3 linked regions of the Sus scrofa genome follow. The main gene of each other region encodes a partner of the protein of the gene in region 2 in a complex. Links are inferred from orthologs where the notes say so. Each region holds a gene or a part of one and is shown on either strand. Other genes may lie near its edges.

Region 1 (7,850 bases), on a different chromosome or scaffold from region 2:
ACCTTGATCTAGAATTATGATATTAATCATAATTAGTATCATTAATTAAGATTAATTAATACAGGATTGTTTTGAACTATCTTTACATTTTTATTTATTTATTTATTTTTGGCTTCTCCGTGTGGCATGTGGAAGTTCCTGGGCCAGGGACTGAACCTGTGCCACAGCAGTGGTCCAGGCCCCTGCAGTGACAGCGCTGAACTCTTGTATAGTTCTCTCTATACAAGAGAACTCCCTACGCAAGAGAACTCCGTATCTTTAATTTTTAAAATAAAGTATATTTGGTTTGGTTCACCAAATTTGGTTTTAATGAAATGTTCCTTCAGACAATACCAAATCGATTTTGCCACTGTCTAGGACTTTTGCACATACATTCACTAATGTGTATCAAATATGAGGTGGGCACATAACAATAGTGAGCAACATGCATACCCTCTCATCACAGAGCATGAATTCAGTAATTTTAAATGCTTTTTAGGATGCTAAGGATTGTGCTAGCTTCAAAAATTAAGCTAAGAAGGTCTCCATCATGCTTTGAGTTTAAAGCACAAGAATTAGCTCTTCAAGAATTTTTAAAACTCAGAGTTCCCGTTGTGGCGCAGAGGAAACAAATCAGACTAGGAACTATGAGGTTTCAGGTTTGATCCCTGGCCTCGCTCAGTGGCTTAAGGATCCAGCGTTGCCATGAGCTGTGGTGTAGGTCGAAGACACGACTTGGATCTGGCATTGCTGTGGCTGTGGCTGTGGCCAGCAGCAACAGCTCCGATTTGACCCCTAGCCTGGGAACCTCCATATGCCACGGGTGCGGTGCTACAAAAGACAAAAAAAAAAAAAAGAATTTTTAAAACTCACTCATAAGTCTGAGTCAGCTGAATGCCTTTTTATTTTGTGATACAGAACTCTGGCATCATTTTTTAAAGTCCTGTCTACAGTTATTAACCTAATTTAGTTTTCTACCTTCTTTGAGTCTTTATCTCCGTTTTCCTTGAAAAGTGACTATTTCATTTTGGTATTAATATTTGTTGAAAATATAGAGCTGTATAAAATATTTTAATAATTTTTAACTCTCTCTTAAACTACTACCCTTATTAGTGGCAATATTCCCTTTCTTGTTACACTTCCTTAACTCTGCCATTTTTATTGGTACTGCCAAAAACCAGTTTATTATTACAGTATGAGAATATTATACCAATTTATTAAACAATTTTCTTTTTAAAACCTGTTTTCTAATTCCTTTGTTGTTGTTCTTTTATCTTTAGTAAAAGTTGTTTTATCTTTAGTTCTTCCTAACTTCAAATAATTTTGATCACTTGTAAAAATATTCAAATAAATGTTTTTCTTATTTTTGTTTTTATCTAATAATAAAATAATTTTTCCCTATAGCTTAGTCTATATCTTACAATTTTAATATATAGTTTTTTCCCTGTCATTACATTATTGTATGTAATTATGTAATTGCAATATTAGTGTCCTTTTACACTCAAATGTGATTTATAAAAGTACCTTAAAATTTAAAGTTTTCTACTTATTTGGGGGGAGGAGCTATTAATTTTTAGCTTTATTCCATTATACCACTGTGAACTGGAGTTTGGCACTTGCTGTCTACCTCTACATGCATTAAATCATGAGCCACTGCAGCTGCCAACCAGCAGTGGAGTGGAGCTCAGGGCAGAGACCAGAAGTGAGGCACTCTGTGCTCTGGGAAAACCAGAAGAACAGATCTTCAGACAGTCAAACGTTTTTAGGAAAAGATTTTATGTGCCCAATTCTTGCATCTCCTCATATCAAGCAAAACACTGAAATCCTTCATGGTGATGTCTGCTTCTAATGACTAGTAGTAACCTTCATGAGGCCAGTAGCAAATTTTTGTAAACTGTATGCATGACTGCATGCACCTCCCCCTTTACCTTTATCACCAGTTATATCCTGGTATTTCCCCTTTCCTCTCTGAGGCTATATTTATTAGAGCTGTGTGAATGCAGCCACCTCCAAGGCTAAGCTGCTGAGCCCTGAGGGAACTCAGGAAAGAAAGAATACCTGTCACTTTGCAGCCATCAGACTACAGCCACTCCTAACAGCAAAGTGTGAGGAAATTTAGGCTGTGAAAACACGGGATACTGGCCCAGATAGCTAAAGTGCATATCAAAGGAATGATTTTAGTGAGGCCAGACCTCTGGGTCTTCCCAAAGAAAAGGGCTTAATTCTGTAACTTGAGATACCTAGTTTTCGGTAATCTTTTGTTCCTACTACCTGCCCTTTGTTCAAAAAACAACAACAACAAAAAAAAACCCAAAACCCCAATGACAATAAAAAACTTCCTCTATATCCTTATTCCCCCCTACTCCCGCTGCAGAATGTTTTTTTCTGGGTTACTTCAGATGTTTCCTCCTGGGCTTAAGACCTGATTTTGCCCCAAACAAAACTTAACTTTTAGGTTGTGCATTTTTTTTTTTTTTAAGTCAACACATTCTTTACTTATCTAAATTTAGTTCAAACTTCTAGGCCTAACATAAATGCCATCTCCTTCAAGAAGTCTTTCTTCTATCCTGCTGTGTTCTTTCCCTTCTATATATATCTTCCCCCTTCCCCTGTTGGACACTCTCAGGCTATTTTATGAGATTTGCAGTTTAGCTCAGTACTTTGTGAGTTTCCATAGCAAGATTCCATTCAATACAGCAATATTTATTGAGCACCTCTGCATCAGACATTGTACTAGGCCTTAGGAATAGCGTTAAATGAAACCCCGGCCTTCAAGATTAGTAGGAGAGACGAACAGGTAAACACATTAAATACCCCAGTGAGCTTCAAGAGACTTGGTTCGGTAGTGAAGTACCAAAGCACCTCAAAGGAGGTATAGGGGAGCAATTGCCATCTAGGCACAGCTTCACCGTAAATAGCCTAATAATTCAACCCAGTGATTATAAAGGTATAATTAACAGCTCCTGCCTCAGAATCATTTGGATTTTGTAAGGAAAAAGAAAAAAGGCAGATTCACATCTACTAGAATCAGAATGAAGGAAAGTGACACTTAAATCTGAGTTTTAAACAAACTCCCCATGTATTTAAATCATCCAAAATTTAAGAATAGAGTGGAGCCAAATTTCGCAGATCTCATTCACAAGCTACTTCCTCCTCCTAGCAGGACAACCTGCGGGGTGTCTCTTCCCTTCCTGCGCCGTTTCCAGACGTCGTCCACATGCCGCAGGCCTTCTCTCCTGAGGCTTTGGTCAGTCACCCTCAGTCCGAAAAGCCCAGCGGACACTCAGACCCTCGCTCCGCAAAGGATTGGAGGGGGTGGGGGCTACGCTACAGGTCAACCTAAAAGGCGGGAGGGGCAGCAAGAGAGCCGAAAGGGAGAGCTCTTTGATTGACGCGAAAAATGCCCAATGAGAGAAGAGGACTAGTGACGCTTCCGCCCTAATGGGCAAGGCATTAGCTATTTCAACCAATCCAGCTCAGAAATGTCTACCTTGTGGGAGGTCTTGAGGCTGCTTAGGTCGTTGTCTGTTGAACCGCTTGTGGAAGTCGTTCGGCTTTGAGTAGGGGGTTAAAGTCGTTCTCGAGAGGAAAGTCTCTGGCCGAAGAGAAAATGAGTTTAGCTCTGAGGTCGGTAATGAGGAGGCGGCAATGCTCTCCACACCACGCAGCGGGCCCCAGGGTGGGTGTGTGTGGAAGGGAGGCAGCTTGGGGCGAGGCAAGGAAGGGAATGCAGTTTGGGACGAGGGAAGGGAGCCTTGGCCACCTTTCCTGGGCCAGACTCCTCATCTTCGGGGCCCGGGTGAGCTCCGTGCAGTTAGACGGTCATTTCTGTCAGGCCACTGGGCTTTGGACCCCAACAACCTGGGTTGTTATAGTCTCGAGGAGGCAGTGAAATATCGCGAGGTTTCTACGCTCTTGTTTATGTGAACTAGGAAACCAGGCCTTGGAGCATCCTTAGTAAAGTTCCCGTCATTCCTTCGCTTATGGCCTCCACCGCAGCTCCCTTCCTGCTAACATCTAACCCGTAGATTTTAGAAATAACGTAAAGCCCTCCTTGCTTCACTATGTAATAGTAGACCCATTTTAGTGCTTTTAGTTGGTAATCTCTTAGATTCCCTGAGTTTATTTTTCGCTCATTTCCAACCACTAACCTACCATTTGTTGCCTACTTCCCAACTCCGACTAGGCGTGTTACCGTAAAAATACCTATAGAGTTACACCTAACTAAAAAGGTACCGAGTTCTGATAAGGCATAATCGTGGTATCCTTGGCTGGGGTCAGTGGTCGGTGGTTTGCGAACTTGTCCTCTCAAAATCTTGGGAAAAGAATGGCCGACCCCCAGAACGTCCAGGCTTGTGTGAAGTGGGGTCTCCTGTGAAAGCAAGATCTACCTCAGCTTTATCATATCTCTTTTGGTCACTTTCTAGTCATCTCTTGCCTTTTGTGTGTGTGTGTGTGTGTGTGTGTGGTAGATTTCAGAGAACAAAGCAACTTAAAATGCAAACAGATAACGTGTCTAATAAAATCAACTGGGTTTTTACATTTTCTAAGTTTTACAGAATTCTTCTGCTTCAAACTTGCAACCCTATTTGAAAATTTGGAACATCTCAAGATATTTCTGGCTTTTACAATAAATTCCTTTTTTTCTTCAGCCTTTTTCAGGGTTTATGAAAAATTAAATCCAAATGTATATGTTAAGTGAGATTTACAAGACAGTTGACTCCACATTATTATATAGCGTTAGCACAAATATGTACTTTTCTGGTGTTTAATAGTATGCTTAGGCTAAGTTTTTTGGGTGATTGTTAATAATATCAGTGGGAGAAATTGCAAATAAAATGCCAAACTTAAAAATGTGTAATCTAAAAACACTTTTGATCCACAATGCCAAAAGAGTTTATGTTAATTGATGAGTTAGATGTCTTTTTGTAGTAATTTTGATAGTTATTAACACTATAAAAGTAAGCCTAATATGTAGTGATCATCAATTGTGAATTCTTTTTTTTTTTTTTAACAGACATTGTAAAACGAGTAACTATGGGTGCTTTGTTTTTTTGGGGGGGTTCTGATATAAAACTAATGTTTCTTATTCACATTTCTTGTTTCTTCCATAGTAATATTAGTGGAAATAAATAAAAAGCCAGGAGGAAGGGAAGTAAGGTCCTCATTTCTTTAATAACTTAACACTTTTCAGTTTTAGGAAGCACAAGTTTATAGCACCTTAGTCGATGGGAAGAGCAGGGCTTTGACTCATGTAAGGAAAATCTCTTCCTTTCATGTAAGGAAAATACTTCCTTTTTAGAAATTTAGGTATTTATTAATTGGCTAATTTTTTGTATTTTTGGATTCTTATTTGAGTCATTTAGAAGCATAGGAGAATGGGATTAAAGTGCAATAAATAGGGTTTTCTGTCTTCATTTCATAGAAATGAGCTTGTAGTAGACAAAACAAAAAGGAAAAAAAGAAGAGAACTCTCTGAAGAACAGAAACAAGAAATTAAAGATGCTTTTGAACTATTTGACACGGACAAAGATGAAGCAATAGATTACCATGAATTAAAGGTAATATACTCGACCTCTATCTGTTAAAATGATTTGCATATTGACAGTTGATTAAAAATATATTTATAAATATTTTAATTTGGTTTTGGAAATATGAAATCATTTTAAACATTTACCATTAAGTGCTTTTAATAAAATTGAATAGTACTTGTAGCATATCTTTTTAGAAACTCCTTCTCATATGGTAAAATGAATAGTATAATGTAAAAATACATTCCTATGGAGGGGCTTATTTTTCATTCACGTAGTTAAAAAAAATAAAGCTATGGTATTTAAACTATACTTACCGTATTCCTCTTCCCACTTTGGTGTTTCTTCTTTTTTGGTGACATATTTTTCAGATTGAGGGAGTGTTACTCGTTTTTTAATTTGAACATGTTGGTAACAGTCTCATCCTGTTTTCTCTGGTGCAGGAAACATAAGTGATATCTGATGTTGACACAATGCTAATGGGGAAAGTGTCAATTTTAGGTTCTAGAAATATTTATAAAGAATCAAAGGGGAATTGGTATTTAAGGTAGGTTGGATCTTACACTCAGCACAATGAGGAAGATAGTATTCTTATAGCTCTGTACTCACAGTTTCTTTTAGTTACCCAGTTTTGATCAATTCTTTTTTTTAATAATGTTTCTTCTATTTGTTGCTATTGTTATTATATTGGTTTGGGATCTTAATTCATATCTGAAACTTCCTAATTGGTTTCTCTTTTTCCTGTACACTCTCATTAAATTCATCTTTCTAAAATTCTTTCATCATATTATTCATTGCTCATAAGCTTTATTTTGTATACTCCGTAAAGTTCACATTTTTAAAAATTTTTATTGAATGCCCTCCACACTTTTGCTACGACCTACTTTTTTTCTCATTTGCTAACTGTTTTCTTCTACCTAATCTCTTCCTATTCAGGTAAGGTGAACTGCTCTATTCCCTGTCTTCAAGCTTATTCTTTATTTTAGTGTGTATTTTAATACTAGTCATTTTTTTCTAAATGCCCTTCTGCTCTACTTCATTCGTGCACCATTTAAGGAACAACTATAATCTTCTAAATTAGACTTCTTTAACCATCTCTTATTACTTGTAACTAGTATCTAGATCTCTTCTTTCTCTAAGCTCAGGGTCCTAGATTACTTACTTGATAACTAGTCATAGAGAATCTGATGAAAATTCTTATTTTAATTTTTTAATCTCTTCTTCTGTATAACTTTTTAATATTTATATTATACCTTCTTTCCATTTTGATTGTTAATAGTTTGAAAATGAATAAGCCATTAAAATTATCTTTCACAAAAGTCAGTGCATTGTATAGTGTATTGTCTAAACTCATTGATTAGTTTGTCATATTAAAAAAGGGATATATAGATGAAAAAATTGCCATCTAATTTTAGTACTGAAGAAAAACTATCACTATTATTTTAGAGACATAAAATATGCGAAAGAATATATGTTTTATTGATGTATTGTAACTTTTAAGTACTAAAAACTTATTTGAGAATGGGAAATCACTTTTGTAAAAAATGCATTATAATTTGCTTTTCTCTTTTAATCCAAAAGGTGGCAATGAGAGCCTTGGGGTTTGATGTAAAAAAAGCTGATATACTGAAGATTCTTAAAGATTATGACAGAGAAGCCACGGGGAAAATCACCTTTGAAGATTTTAATGAAGTTGGTGTGTATTTTAATAGTCTTTGTAATCATCAATTGTTAGAAAATTACCTAACTATTTTAAAAATTCTCTCGGTTGTGGAATTTTGTTACCGAGTATATATGATATGGATCTTAATTTTGGGTTTTTTTTTGGTATTTTTTGCTGATTTTCAAAGAAAAAAATAAGATTTATTGCTTCATTGTAAATGGGATTTATCATTTTGTCTTTTGTTCTGTTCTGAAGATTTTAACCAAGGAACTATTGTATAGCTTCTTATGGAAGGATATCTTTCCATGTAATGTGTGCCTATATTTTGTGATAAAACTAAAAAAAATCATCAAAAAATTATTTTCTTGGAATTCCCTCATGGCTCAGTGGTAAGGAACCCAAGTTCCTGTCATGGTTCAGTGGTAAGGAACCTGACTAGTATCCATGAGGACACCAGTTTGATCCCTGGACTCGCTTACTGCGTCAAGGATCTGGAATTGAGGTGAGCTGTGATGTAGGTTGCAGATGTGGTTCGGATCCTGAGTTGCTCCGGCTATGGTGTAGGCCAGCAGCTACAGCTCCGATTCAACCCTTAGCCTGATTCAACCCTTAGCCTGAGAACTTCCATCTGCTGTGGGCGTCGCCCTAAAAAGACAAAAAAAAAAAATTATTTTGTT
Region 2 (6,751 bases):
CCACGAACCTTTTGGTTCTAGTTAACAAGGCAACATTATTTGACTAAGAAGTTGCAGCTTATTAATCATCGAAATTTTTGAATTTATTTAATAATTTTTAATTTAATTAATTTTTTGTCTTTTTTAGGGCCGTACCCGAGGCATGTGAAGGGTCTCAGGCCAGGGGTCGAATCAGAGCTACAGCTGCCAGCCTCCGTCACAGCCACGCCAGATCCAGGCCGCGTCTGCGACCTACACCCCACAGCTCACGGCAGCTCCGGGTCCTTAACCCACTAAGTGAGGCCAGGGATCAAACCCACATCCTCATGGATACTGGTCAGGTTTGTGAACCGCTGAGCCTGACAGGAACTCCTGAATTTATTTTTTGAGGAAACTGGTAATGTTTTCTCTGATTCTTGTGTTCTTCTTTTACATTGTTCCTTATCCTGGGCTCATGTTCCGATTGAATGGAGAACTTGCCCCTCTTATTTTTTCAGGCCTCTCACCTTTGAGAATTTTCTTTTCCTGTTTGATACTTGCCCCATGAAATCACCTTGATTGAAGACTCAAGGGATTTTAGGTTGATGGTTTGCATTGGTCTCTGAAATAATTCCAATAGCTTCCTTGGTCCCTTGAGCGCAGTTGCATCAGGAGATGCTCCTCCTGGCATTACTGGAGGAGAGGCCCGCAGGCGGGACAGCCTCCAGACAAGCTTACTGCCGCCCCCGGGTCACCGCATCGCTCTGTCTCGGGCATTGCTGGCAGTGCAGGGTGGCAGCCTGGCACGTAGTGGGTAGATGATGGGCGGCCTTTTGAGTCACAGAGACCTTGTCCCAGGCCCAGCTCTGCCACCTACGAGCTGGCCCAGCTGCGACAAGGGGCATGTTCTGTGAGCCTCATTTTCTTCACCTGAGACATAGGGATGCAGGGTTCCTTAGGCAAACTGCTGTCCAGCCCCTGGCCGCTGGCCCCTGGAGGGCCCTCAGTAAACCAGACCTCAGAAGTGTTACCATCAGTGATGACTCCTAAATTCCTGTTTCTTCTGGAGAAGGAAATCATGAGAATAGGCAGCTGTGGTGTGTCGTGTGCACGCGTGTGTCCCCTCCCCTCCCCTGTCCGGTTTACGGTCTGTATCATTGCGACTTCTCACTTTTCACTCACCTTCTACCGAGAACTCGGAGCAGTATTGAGTACTGGGCACTAGGTAAAGCCTGTGGGTCCAGGAAGAAAGTGTAACCAGATCTGTCGTCCGTCCTAAATAATTCAACGGCAAGGGTTTTTAGCACTTTCTTTTTTCCAGTCTGTTACAGTTGTAACCCAGCGGCCTCCGTCGCCACGGCTTGGAATTTCACTCAGGGTTTAAAGCGCAGAGTGTAAACCCAGACAGGAGCCTCACAGGAGGTACCATCTCGTCTGTGCTTCTGCTGCTAAAGGCAAATGGGCAAACGATTGAACCCCAGGTAGCAGCGAGCGAAGGGATCCCACGGACAGCCTTTCATATCCAGTATTTGATCTTTCCGATTCAGAGGCAGAAGCTCAGGCTGTGGTTATACCTGGAGTAAGAAGGCCTGAGTGGCCCTCTAACAGCAGGATTCGCTTTCTGAAAGGGGCCTGAATGAGGTCCCCTGTCCCTGGGCAAGTCCCCTGGTGGCTGTGCCCAGGCCACCATCGCCCCCAGAGCTCCTAGGCCAGTCGTCATTGTCAGCAGCACAGTCCTTGAGAGCACATTTCTTGGTCCATTCTGCCCCGTGCTGTTCAGTTGACACTTGCTCTGTATAATATGTAGGGAGAGTCTAGAATGTGATAGAGTGTCCGTACTAATGGCCAGGAATGATGTAAGCAGCAGCTCGGGGCCTGGGGACCCGCTTTCCGGAGCAGAAGACGGAGCCGCTCTTCCTGCCTCGTGGGCCTCCACCAGTCAGGGAGGCCACCCCGCGCAGGCCTGACCCTTCCTGCGCCGGGGGCCCCGGAGCCCACCCGGGGGTGGGGGGGGTCTTGGATGCGGGGCTCCCCTCGCGGCTGATGGATCGCTTTCTCGCGTTCCTGCAGCAGCCCTCCTCCAGGCACCGTGTGCCTCTTGATTGAGGAGTCGTCCCTTACTGCGCAGAGAGAGCGTTTAAAAAAATTCTTCCGTATGGGAGAGAGACTCCAGGGAGAGATGCGAGAGCCAGGCGGCTCTAAATTAGTCAAAAGCGCCTGGCCGGGCGCCAGGGCCATGCCTCTCCACTAACGCAGCTCCCAGATTCTCCCTGAAGCGGGGTCTCAGCCTCCAGTTTCAGAGTCTGTGTCTCCCTGGAGCAGGCGCCCAGCCTGCACGGTGCTAAGTAATGAGATGCGGCCTCTGACAGCTGGGTGGGGATTGGAGTCTTGAGGGTTTTCACTGAGGAGCCCAGAACATGCAGAGGGGCTGGGCAGGGGTCTGACATGCACCAAGGTGGTTCTTGGTGGCATTCAGATTCTCCAGGGAGACGTGGCGCTGACGTGTCCAGCTTGCCTCTGGGAGGGACCGGGGGTCTCCCAGACGTCTAGGGTCTGCTAGATTCTCAGAATTCCAGGGAGCTCTCCTAAGTGGACCCCAGACCCCTCTGCTGGCTGTGGAGGGTGGGTGGTCATGGTTTGGCATCCGGGGTGGTTTTATTATTTTGCTGGAGAAGGGGTATTGTCCTTTGCTATACTTTTTTGTATTTGACTTTCTAATGTTTTTTTCCCTTTTTTCCCTTCCTCTTTTGGTTTCTCACTGCTCACTGTCTTCTCTTCCTGTCTTCTTTCTTTCTCCCTATTTCTGTTTGCCTCTGTTTTGCTCAGGTGGCTTCGGTGCTGCTCCAGTGTTTGGCAGCCCTCCTACTTTTGGGGGATCCCCTGGGTTTGGAGGGGTGCCAGCATTCGGTTCAGCCCCAGCCTTTACAAGCCCTCTGGGCTCGACGGGAGGCAAAGTGTTCGGAGAGGGTACAGCGGCCGCCAGCGCGGGAGGATTCGGGTAAGCCCCCCGGGAGAGGCCTGGGGAAGCCCTCAAGCTCAGGTCAGCAAAGCACCAGGGCCCGGTGCTCCTGTTTTGGAAAGTTCTGTTTTCTCTACTTTTGACTGAGCTGAAAGCCCCTCCGTCCAAATCAGCCAACCAGGCGCTCTAGGATTCCTGTTCTTCCTAGCGGCAGGCCCGTTTCTGCCAAGCCAGGCTCTGTCGAGTACACGATCCCATCAGCTGTGTGGCCGTCCCTCGGTACAGAGGGTGCTGGTTGGTGGATGCCTGGTCTCCGGGTGGAGCCGGAGGATTGGTTACAGGAAGAAAATCCGTCTCACCGTGGCTGGCTCCAGCCCGGACTGACCCTTGTGTGATGACTTCTGATAGGAAATTCCGAATGAATCGTTTTCACCAGATTCTTTCCTCTCGGGGTTGTTGTGCAGAAGACCCTCTGTCCTTGAGCCAACCAGGCCTTGTGTCCCCTGCGCCACTGCAGCCGCGCAGGGCAGGGATTGGGCCCGCAGCCCCTGGGCCAGCTTCCACAGCAGGCGGCACCGAGACCCCGCACGCGTTTCGCAGTCTCAGGACTGCTCAGCCTTTGAAGCTGCTCAGACTGCCTGTGCATGGCCTCACTTGAAAATGCCATTCTAGAGACTTGCTGTTAAGGGCCCTAGCAATTGTCTGCTTACCAAAACCCCAAGGAGAACATAGCCCACAGCCCCACTAAAACATACGTGCTGATGGCCTCAAAGAGGCCCGTTCAGAGGAGGTAGTAATGTCTGAAATCCACGTCAGAGGGGCCTCCGGTGGCCTCCGCACTGGCCCAGGACGTGTAAAGCTGAAGCGTTGGGGAGACCTGGCAGGGTGCTTGGGTTGCGTGTTGGTGAGGCGATAGCACCTTTGTCTTGAAAATAAACTTAAGTGGTCCTGGAGCTCCCCAGTGGCTCGCCGGGTTAAGGATCCTGTGTAGTCACTGCTGTGGAACTTCTCTGTGCCACGGGCACAGCCAAAAAAAAACCTTAGGTGGTCCTTATTCATGGCCATTCCCCCCGTGGAAGATGCTGGCTCAGAAGCGCTGGAGAGGCTCGAGGAACGCGAGCAAGTCCTACTTTTTGGATTTTGCATGGAGACTGATGGGTCTTTTGAGTTGCTCCCAGGAAGTCAGGAAACCCCAAGACTTAAGGAACGCTTTCAAGGGAGGGTTGGGATCCCTTTAAGCCAGTATTCTTGGCAGTTCTGACGGACACTCGTCTCGCCAGTGACCGCCCAGCCCGTGATGCTGCAGCTGACTGGGAATCTCGAGGGTTTGTTTGTTTATTTGAAACCAGCTGTTTTCTTCACTGGTAAGAAAGGATCATGCTCTGCCTTGACCAGGGAGGCTACTCTCCCATGTACATCCTGACTGGCTGGCTCCCTGGCGCCAGCTCTGGTCGGAATCCCCAAAAGAGCCGTCACCTTTCTTCAGGTCCCGGGCTGTGACGCCGTCGCTGACCCGGCTGGCATCTGAGGAGTCCCCACGGTTGGATGAGAGAGGCCCGAGGCAGGAGTGGGATTAGAGCAGGACCAGTGACCTGGAATTTCCAGACAGTCAGATGGAGACTGAAACACTGGACCAGGGGTCCTCAGACTGTATTTCCCCCAAAGCGGAGGGGAAGGTTTGCGCCGGGCTCTAGCCTGTTTTCCCTGAGAGGCTGCCAGATTAAGCCGAGCCCGTCACCTCGAATCGTGTGTGTCGTGCCTCTCAGGACTCAGGAGGACGGACTGAGGCCATTGGGCAGCGGGGGGCCCCGTGGCCTCGCTGACACGGTCTGCTCTCTCACCCCAACCCAGGTTTGGAAGCGGCGGCAACACCACGTCCTTCGGCACCCTGGCGAGTCAGAACGCTCCAACTTTTGGCTCCCTGTCCCAACAGTCTTCTGGGTTTGGGACCCAGAGCGGGGGGTTCTCCGGCTTTGGATCAGGCGGAGGAGGTAGGCGGCCAGACAGCTTCCCGCACAGGGGCCCTCCTGGTTTCCTCGGTAAATGCCCGCCTGGCCCCCAACCCTTCCCAAAGAAGGGGGGCCTTTCCTGGCCGTTCAGTCCAGTATGTGAAAGGCTGAAGGTGCTTGGAAGACAGCGTGTTCTTTTAAGGTTTTGATTAGACTTGGAACATGCCGTTTCTTATCGAATAATGAGATGGCTCACTTGATGTTTCTCTCAGGATTTGAGGATTCCCAAAAAGTAACCATCCTACTAGATCTTGATGTAAAAATCTAAGCCAGCAGACTCAAGAAATAAGATACAGAAAAATAAAAACAACACATACTTTACCAAACGTCATTCGTCTGTTTGACACTCCACTGCACACAGTAGGATATATACGGTCTGCTGTTTTCCTTACAATACATGTGAGACACAGAAGTTATAGGCCTCGTTACTGTTTTACAAACAAAGATCCAGAAACTCCAGGGCGACAGACAGTGAGCAGCAGAGCGAGGTCTAGAACCCAAGTGTCTTGGGACTTCCCGCCGTGGCACAGCGGAAACGAATCCGACTGGTGCCCGTGAGCACTTGGGTTCCATCCCTGGCCTCGCTCAGTGGGTTGAGGATCCGGCGTTGCCGTGAGCTGTGGTGTGGGTCGCAGACGCGGCTCGCATCCCGTGTTGCTGTGGCTGTGGTTAGGCCAGCAGCTGTAGCTCCGATTCGACCCCCAGCCTGGGAACTTCTACGTGCCTCAGGTGCGGCCCTCAAAAGACAAAAGACGAAAACTAGAACCCGAGTGTCTTGCTGCTCTGGCCTCAGACGAGGAGGAGGCGGGTGGATGGGAAAGTAGGGGGAGGAGCAACCACGCTTTCTTAACGCGGGGGACCTGTGTGGTGGGTGCGGCAGGGAGGGGGCCGTGCCGAAGGCCCTCTGCCCACGCCGGTCGGGGAGGAGGGAGGACCCTGCAATACCCAGAAGGCCACGGCCCTTCCCGCGCGGCCGGAGGAGCAGGGCTTTCCCTGGGGAAACGCACGGGGAAGAACGTGGCCTGGAGACCACCTTTGTCTTTCAAACGTACGTGTGGCTTAACGGCCCCCTCTCCCTCTTTTTCAGGTTTCAGCTTTGGATCGTCTAGCTCGTAAGTATCTTTCCCAGTTTTGCGTCATTTAAATAAGGATGCAGGAGTGTTGATATGTGAAAATGCTGGGTTTTGCTCTGCGTGTGTAGCTTGCGGCCATTTTTCCTGCTGCAAAATCTTGTCCTGGAAGCTTGGCGGGTCGCAGCAGCTCTTGGGTTCTGCGGACGTGCAGAACTCGGCGGGCAGAGGGCGGGAGGTGCTGACGACAGGGTGCTGCTCGCAGGGCCGCGCCCCGGAGGGAGAGAGCGTGCCTTCTGAGGGGCAGGGCCTGGGAGGCAGGACTTGAGATGCTTTTCCTGACGTCCCTGTGCGGGTCTCCGAAGCCTCACGCTGCCTCCCGGGCTCCAAGCCCATTACCGGATTTGCTCTCCGGCTCTCACCCTGTGCTTCTGTGTGGAGCTGCGGGACATTAAAAACTCAGAGCCCGCGGGCAGCCGCGTGAGTCTGGAAGCCGCTGCTCTGAGCAGGCGCTGATCAGCCTCCCCGGCACTTCCTTGCAGGTCCGTCCAGGGCTTCGGTGGCTGGAGGAGCTGAGCGCCTGTCGGTGCTCCCTTCCTTCTGTTCCCGCGACCAGCCAGCTGCGTCTCAGCGCCTCATCGCTGAGAAGCCCCGGAGCAGTCCTTTGAAGTGGGCATCCTCGCTGAAATACACAGCCAGAAAGAAGCAGCAGACACCGAACTCCGGAGCTGCTGGCCTGCTCGTTTGGTTCTGTG
Region 3 (8,074 bases), on a different chromosome or scaffold from region 2:
ACTGAGTGAGGCCAGGGATCGAACCCACAACCTCATGGTTCCTAGTTGGATTCGCTTCTGCTGCGCCATGCCGGGAACTCCTGACTAATTAGAATTCTTAAGAATTTATCAAAATATTTCTTTGGGAGTTCCTGCTGTGGCACAGTGGGTTAAGGATCTGACCAAAATGGCTCAGATTGCTGCAGAGATGAGGTTTCGATCCCTGGCCCAGGAACTTTCATTGCCCCAGGTGCAGCCAAAAAAAAGTTTATTTTTAAATTTGAATTTCAATTGAATTATGCTATGAAAACAAACTGCTTAAAAAAACAACCAAACAAAAAACCCATGGAATCCCCTCTGTAGCACAATGGTGGCATCTCTGCAGCAATGGGACAAAGGTTCTATCCCAGCCCAGCACAGTGGGTTAAAGGATCTGGTGTTGCTGCAGTTGGGGCATAAAGCGAAACTGCTGCTGGGATCTGATCCCATATGCCATGGGGAAGCCAAAAAAAAAAGGGCACAGTGAACTAAATAACAATACAACAAAGGTCATCCAGTCTCACCAAAGACAACCACTACCAACATTTTGCGATCTTTCAGATTTTTTTTTTCTTTTTTCTTTTTCAGCCGCATCTGAGGCACATGGAAGTTCCCAGACTAAGGGTAGAATCAGAGCTTCAGCTGCTGACCTACACCGCATCCTCCTTCAGATTTTTTTTTTCCTTTTTTTTTTTTAGGGCTGCACCTGAGGCACATGGAGGTTCCCAGACTAGGGGTTGATCGGAGCTACAGCTGCCAGCCTATACCACAGCTACAGCAACGCCAGATCCTTAACCCACTGAGTGAGGCTAGGGATTGAACCTGCAACCTCATGGTTCCTAATCGGATTAATTTCCGCTGTGCCGTGACGAGAACTCCTCAGATGATTTTTTTTTTTTTTTTGTCTTTTTTTGTCTTTTTGTTGTTGTTATTGTTGCTGTCTCTTGGTTCTTGGGCCGCTCCCTCGGCATATGGAGGTTCCCAGGCTAGGGGTTGAATCTGAGCTGTAGCCACCGGCCTACGCCAGAGCCACAGCAACGTGGGATCCGAGCCGCATCTGCAACCTACACCACAGCTCATGGCAACGCCGGATCGTTAACCCACTGAGCAAGGGCAGGGACCGAACCCGCAACCTCATGGTTCCTAGTTGGATTCGTTAACCACTGCGCCACGACGGGAACTCCTCAGATGATTTTTGATGACAGTCTCTCATGTGGTTGTGGTCAGATATAGTTAATGGGATCATAGAATTCTTTAATTTTCTCCATTTGCCTCTATTTTCTTATCTTTCTGTCATAGTTACATCTGCTGGATCTATACTAAGAAAACCGCTAACCAGCTATTTATAATATACCAAACAGAAGTGTGACTGAGAAGGGACGTTAAAAAACAAAACAAAACAAAACAAAAAAACCTGCTTCCTGAAATGTTTTTTAAAATGTTTACTATAAGGAGTTTCCATCGTGGCTCAGCAGTTAACAAACCCGACTAGGCTCCATGAGGACGCAGGTTTGATCCCTGGCCTCCTTCACTGGGTTAAGGATTCGGCATTGCCGTGAGCTGTGGTGTAGGTTGCAGATGCAGCTTGGATCCCGCGTTGCTGTGGCTCTGGCATAGGCCGGTGGCTACGGCTCCGATTAGACTCCTGCCTGGGAACCTCCATATGCCGCAGGAGCGGCCCTAGAAAAGGCAAAAAAAAAAAAAAAAAAAAAAAAAAAAAAGGAGTGGAAGACTTCTGTCGCGGCTCAGTGGTAAGAACCTGACTAGTATCTATGAGGACACAGGTTCAATCCCTGGCCTCGATCAGTGGGATAAGGATCCATCCGGTGTTGCCCTGAGCAGATGCGGCTTGGATCTGGCATTGCTGTGGCTGTGGCATAGGTTGGCAGGGGTAGCTCTGATTCTATCCGTAGCCTGGGAAGTTACATATGCCGCAGGCGCGGTCCTAAAAAGAGGTTAAATAAATAAAAATAAATGTCGTGGAGGAGGAAAAACATAATGATGTTTGATTTCCTCAGCTGTTAGGGGTGAGGGAGAGGAAAAGTTCCTCCAAATCCAGTAGTTCAAGTCTGAGTGCTTTGGGGATGGCTAAATCCCCGGTCTTTAGTTCCTGAACAAGTCTGCTTTCCCAAGCTTTTCCCACCAGCTTCTTAATTCCATGAGCTCAGTGATGGGCTTCTAGTCAATTTCCCTTTGCTTAAGTTAGCCCTAGTGAATTTCTGTCACTGAAAAGAAGAACCCTAATATTAAAGCTAGAATGTGTATGATATGCATCACACAAGGAATTCATTGCACATAATTCTAAGGCAATAAAATGAATATATCTTGATACATTTAAGGGTAGTAAGGTGTTTATGCTTGGTAATCATGTCAAAATGAACCTCAGCGCACTTTTCCACAAGTATTCTCTCTTTTCACTTGAATTAAACACCGAGTTAATGCCCCAAACTGCTCTTCCCTTTTATTGTGTGCCTTACACACTTCAAGTATATTATATGAATAAAACATATTGGATGAGATCCTACTGTATAACTCAGGGAACTATATCCAATCTCTTGGGATAGACCATGATGGAAGATTAATATAAGAAAAAGAATATATATGTATGTATGACTGGGTCACTTTGCTGCATAGTAGAGATTGGCACGTTGTAAATCAACTAAAAATTAAACACACAAACAAACATTGGAATTCATTTGCCAGAGGACACAAAGCAAGAACCTGAAACACTGGTTCATAGTTTGAATAAACCTGCCTCTGGCCCTGACCAAAAACCATTAAGACCACATTTCAGTTTCCATAAAAGAACAAATGCTCTTTTGTACAAGGAAATTCATAGATGGAAAAAAAACAAGAGAGCACTTGGTGGGGGGGATCAAGCTGTTATTGGAAGAGGAGAAAATTAACATTTCGATGAGTGCTGTATGCAATGCACATTGGACATCGCTTCTTAATCCTCCCAAGAACTCAGTGATAAAGGCGTTATCTCCTTTCCACAGATGAGAAATATGCGGCTCAGGGGTTCTGAGCCTAGCTGGAGCCCAAAGCCACGTTTTCTTAAAACCCCACGTCGTCTCAGCGGGAATTAGGTATGAAGACGTCTTCCTGGGAACTACGTTTCCCAGGATTAGAGCATAATGTAAATGCCTTTCGCCAAACTTCCACTGATTCAGGGCCAGAATATATTACCTTTTGCCTATCCGGCACTTTGAAATAGAAGGCAATACCATCATCTTTCATGCTTTTTAAGACAAGTGATTCTTTTTTCTTTAATGGGGAAAAATAGCAAGTGAAGAACAAATAGCCATTGTAGAAAACAATTTCAAAACCTGTAGGGGGTTTACACTACAGTTCAAACAAAATGAGTACAAGAAGAGAGAGACACGGACCCCCGAGGTGTAGAGCAGAGCCTGCACATCTCAATTCCAAATCTGGGCTGTTTCTCGTAGAGAATACCAGGAAATGACTTCACGTTTTTCTGAACTATCAATACAAGTCAAGTATCCCAGTAGGAGAACCCTACTTCTGGACCACGCCCACAAATGCCAATCAGGCAAAGGGGCGGCCGAGCAGCGCCACTAAACCCGGTCAGGTCCCGCCTCCTGCCCCGCCCCTGGCCCTGCCCGGCTGAGCCCGGCTGGGTCGACCACAAGATACACCTTTGCGCCTGCGCAAACCGAACCGCCTGCCCCTGGCAAAAAGAAATTGCGCATGCGCCAAAGGGGAGAGCTGGTTTTTTGTTTTTTTTTTTTTTCTCCCCGCCCGCTACTCAACTCTTTTCCTACAGCGGCTTAGCGAGGCTATGCTTCCGGGTCAAAGGGTTTGCTTCCGGAGAGCGGGAAGGCCGAAACGCGGCGGCTAGGTTGGATCTGAGTTTATAAGCTTCTCGTTGGAAAAGGCCGTGGCCATGGACAGGTTAGTTCTGGTGATGACGGCTGGGCTCGGACACTTGTCTCTCCCCGTTGGAGGAACGAAATGGGTGAAACCCGACTCCCGGAGGAAACCGAGGAAGGCCCGGATGCTGACCCGGGACTTCTTTTCTGGGCTGGGGGACTACAGCTGATGGAAGAAAGGCTGCCTAGGTCTGGGAGGGATAAGGATAATGATAATCCCCTGCGTTTCCGCTTGACTCCACCATCTGTTCACTTTCGCGCAACAGTTTTCCCTCCTGGGGTGGGCGGGGTAGGAGGTGGCCCGGCCTTCGAGATGCTATTACCTGCCGGAGATCACAAAGCCAGTCAGTGACGGAACTGGGATCTCAGCCCAGACCTTCTCATTACAAGTTGCAGCATCACATAGTTAACTGTATTGAGTTCTTTCTGTGACACTGGCTCTATGCTAGGCACCTGCGACAAAGATGAGTTATTTAAGCTTTTTGGCCTTGGAGAATGCGTAGTGGAGGAGACAACCGAGCGGTACAAAGTGGTGTTTTTGGTACTGCTCTTTGGGAAGAGAAATGAGGGAGCACGGAAGTCTCCCTGTCCTGGAAGGTATGCGGAAGACCTCTCAAAGGAGATAACTTTCTAGTTGGTCTTTGAATAACATTAGCCTACAATGAGTACGCTTTAAATGTTTTATTAGCTAATCTCCCTAACAATCCTATGAGGATAGTTACTGCGATCCTCTTTTCATAGGTAGCACTGGGGCTAAAAGAGGTTAAGGAACTTGGTCAAAGTTAGGAAGCTAACAGATAAGAGAACCAAGACACCAACCTAGATCTGTGTGTGTCCAGACTCCAGGAGGCTGTTTGATAAGTAAATATTCACCAGGTAGACCAAGGAGACAAATGTAGGCCTCTGTAAGAGAAATAATACGTACAAAAGTGTAAGGATATGAAAGGATAGTTGAATGGTCACATTCACTGTAGCTTTGTATGGGAGTGATGTTTGTGGCTGAATATAAGCCTGAACTGGTAAGCTGGAATCAAATTGTAAAAACTGTGCTTGAAAGTTTGAATTTGATTCTGTAGGCCACAGATAGCTATCTGAAGATTTTAAGTAGAGGAAATGCATATTAGAGTCTTAAGATACAGGTCTCATAATTCGCACAATATTTTTAGACTTTGGGTGGAGAATGACAGGGGCGTTGTGACTACAGTAGCGCTGTACTCTTAGTGTACTCTGGGGAGAAATAACTCGAAGGGTCATTCTCTCCACTTTACTAGAATTCTTTTTCACTTAGCCTCCCAAGTCACCAGCTCAAATAGTTGTACCCATGGTTTGGAGTATTCTAGAGACAACAGAAAATCCCTTTAAGAGATAGTTCCTTCAATTTTAGGGACCTCCTCAAGCCAATAAGAAAAGATTTACCTAAAAAAAAAAAAGAAAAAAAAAAGATTTACCTTCATGAAGCAATTATCTTTTTTTTTAAAGTTTTGATCACTGTTTTAGATATTTTATTGCTAATTTATTTTTTACTACTCAATGAATTATTTTACATTTATAGTTGTACGACGATCGCAATTATCTAAAACAGTGTTATAATCTAGATTAGATTCCAAGTGTTAATAATTCCGTAGGAGAAAATAACAAGTGCTAGAAAGTCAAAGAAGTCTTTTTACAAGTAAAATATGAGCAGGACTCTGAAGGATAAGCAGGATTTGGAGCCAGAAGGGTATTGTCAACACAAATATCAAAGACTTGAGAATTGTCTTGTGGGGCAGTGCATTGAAGATCCAGCATTGTTTCTGTTTTGGCACGAGTTTGATCCCTATCTTGGGAACTTCCACATGTCCCAGGCCTGACCAAAAAGAAAAAAAAAATCAAAGACTTGGCTACTGAGGTGATCTACACCTTGACTGACTCAGGGTCTTTTGCTCCAATCATGACGATAATGTGTTTTTGCAAATACTACATTCTCATTTCATTCACATGAACTTGATTATGCAATTTTAGGAGTGGCTTTGGAGAGATGTTATCCCCTGTGATCCGGGAGGCAGAGGTGACTCGGACTGCACGCAAACAGAGTGCCCAAAAAAGAGTTTTAAGTATCCTTTGCATTTTAAGCATCAGAATAAAAATTGCAACTTGTTTGGAATTAGAATTAATAGAATTTTATTTTTATGAGAGATATTAAGCACTAGCTATAGTAATAAAATGCTGTGGAAAATAGGTTTGGTTTTGTTTCTTTAACTCCCCACATATGTTATTTGGTAAATATAATGCTGAAATTCAGTGGAATTCATATTTCCCTGAAAATAGGAATGTTCCATTCTACTGCTATCATATTGTGATTAACTTCTGCTGAAATTAGATTGTTTTTTTATTTTTTATTTTTATTTTTTAATTTTTAAAAATTTATTTTATTTTATTTTTTGTCTTTTTGCCATTTCTAGGGCCGCTTCTGTGGCATATGGAGGTTCCCAGGCTAGGGGTCGAATCAGAGCTGTAGCCGCCAGCCTACACCAGAGCCACAGCAACGCGGGATCCGAGCCACTTCTGAGACCTACACCAACAGCTCACGGCAACGCCGGATCATTAACCCACTGAGCAAGGGCAGGGACCGAACCCTCAACCTCATGGTTCCTAGTCAGATTTGTTAACCACTATGCCACGACGGGAACTCCTAGATTGTTTTTTTATTATTTGAAATCTCTTAGTTCAATGTGTAGAAATCTAAGACTCATAACTATGAATTTAAATGGGAAAGGGAATTGTTTGTTCTTTGCACAGGAACAATGTTAGCCATAAAATAGCATGTTCTTAAAAATTGTAATTTACATACTTTGTTTAGTCTAAATATGGTTCATTCCAACTTTAATGGTGTCTTTTCTACATGGAAAACTTTACTTAACTTTTTCCTATAGTTCGGGCATCCCAAGATGAAATTTTTACTAATACTACACCAAGAAACCAGGTTATTCCCCGAACTCCCAGCTCATTTCGACCACCTTGTAAGTTGTTTTGCTTTTAAGGCATTTAATAATAATAATAATAATAGCATCTCATTCTCTTTGGCTACAGTATCAATAATTAAGAACAAATAATGATTGCAGTTACTCTTTGTTGAACTCTTACCATGTGTGAGACACTGTACTTACATAGATACATAATAACTATGACATGGTATTATCTTTGTTTTGCCAAAACTGAAAGTGAGACTTAGAGAAACTGATTCCTACAAATAACATAGCTACTTAGTATGTAAGTAATGGGACCAAAATTCAAACTGTAATCTGCTTACTCCACATCTTTCCCCTCTAGACTGTAGTTGTCGTATGCTTCGACAAAGTCATGGGCTCCTTAGTGTCCTTCATTAATGCTAAGTTATGTTGTAATGAAAGCATCTCTGTTTGCAGTAATAATTTTTTCCTGGTAGTTTCAGTAATACCAAAAGTTTGGGTATTTAGAAAAATAAGTTAAATATTCATATCATGGAAATGTTAATATTGAAAGTTATTCATTTGGTTAGAATCTAAGTAATTGAAAAATGGAAATTATTTATTCTCTGTTTTTTCATGTTTTCATGATCGATGCTCATGCACTTTGAATTCTTTTTACTAACCTCTTGCTTGTAGTTACTCCACCAAACCGAAGCTTACTAAGGCAACCAGATGCTTCCAGCATTTTTGGAACTGGAGGGAGGTCTCCCCGGCTTACACAGTCTTCTGGGTTCTTGGGAAATCTGTCTATGGTATGTATAAAAATAGGGCTGGGAGTTCTTGTTGTGGCTCAGCGGTAATGAACCCCACTAGTATCCGTGAGGATGTGGGCTCGATCCCTGGCTCCACCCAGTGGGTTAAGGATCCAGCATTGCTATGAGCTGCAATGTAGGTCACAGACGTGGTTCAGATTCCGAGTTTCTGTGGCTGTGGCTTAGGCCGGGCAACTACAGCTCTTTTTTGACCCCTAGCCTGGAAACTTCCATATGCCGTGGGTGCAGCCCTAAAAAAAAAAAAAAATGGGGCTGAAATTTTCTCCTTTTTTTTTTTTTTTTTTTTTTTTAATGGCTGCACATGCAGCATATGGAAGTTCCTGGGCCAGGGATTGAATCCAAGCCACAGCCATGACCTAGGCTGTAGCTGTGGCAACATGGGATCCTTTAATCCACTGCTCTG

The links. The genes of interacting proteins can lie anywhere in the genome.
Region 1: NUP214 (region 2) and CETN3 share a complex: the UniProt entries of both Homo sapiens proteins name them as parts of the nuclear pore complex. The link is inferred for Sus scrofa from reciprocal best matches to the Homo sapiens genes NUP214 and CETN3.
Region 3: NUP214 (region 2) and NUP107 share a complex: the UniProt entries of both Homo sapiens proteins name them as parts of the nuclear pore complex. The link is inferred for Sus scrofa from reciprocal best matches to the Homo sapiens genes NUP214 and NUP107.

What each region holds. Positions count from the first base shown.
Region 1 is NC_010444.4:97,588,938-97,596,787, reverse strand, and holds the start of CETN3 (centrin-3), read left to right. Parts: upstream 1-3,467; 5' UTR 3,468-3,589; coding exon 3,590-3,606; intron 3,607-5,404; coding exon 5,405-5,540; intron 5,541-7,091; coding exon 7,092-7,206; intron 7,207-7,850. UniProt on the Homo sapiens protein: Plays a fundamental role in microtubule-organizing center structure and function. As a component of the TREX-2 complex, involved in the export of mRNAs to the cytoplasm through the nuclear pores.
Region 2 is NC_010443.5:271,203,481-271,210,231, forward strand, and holds part of NUP214 (nuclear pore complex protein Nup214), read left to right. Parts: intron 1-2,784; coding exon 2,785-2,956; intron 2,957-4,768; coding exon 4,769-4,908; exon of another isoform or gene 4,909-6,013; coding exon 6,014-6,038; intron 6,039-6,538; coding exon 6,539-6,572; 3' UTR 6,573-6,751. UniProt on the Homo sapiens protein: Part of the nuclear pore complex. Has a critical role in nucleocytoplasmic transport.
Region 3 is NC_010447.5:32,985,970-32,994,043, forward strand, and holds the start of NUP107 (nuclear pore complex protein Nup107), read left to right. Parts: upstream 1-3,691; 5' UTR 3,692-3,925; coding exon 3,926-3,933; intron 3,934-5,912; coding exon 5,913-6,004; intron 6,005-6,823; coding exon 6,824-6,910; coding exon of another isoform or gene 6,911-6,911; intron 6,912-7,507; coding exon of another isoform or gene 7,508-7,534; coding exon 7,535-7,650; intron 7,651-8,074. UniProt on the Homo sapiens protein: Plays a role in the nuclear pore complex (NPC) assembly and/or maintenance. Required for the assembly of peripheral proteins into the NPC. May anchor NUP62 to the NPC. Involved in nephrogenesis.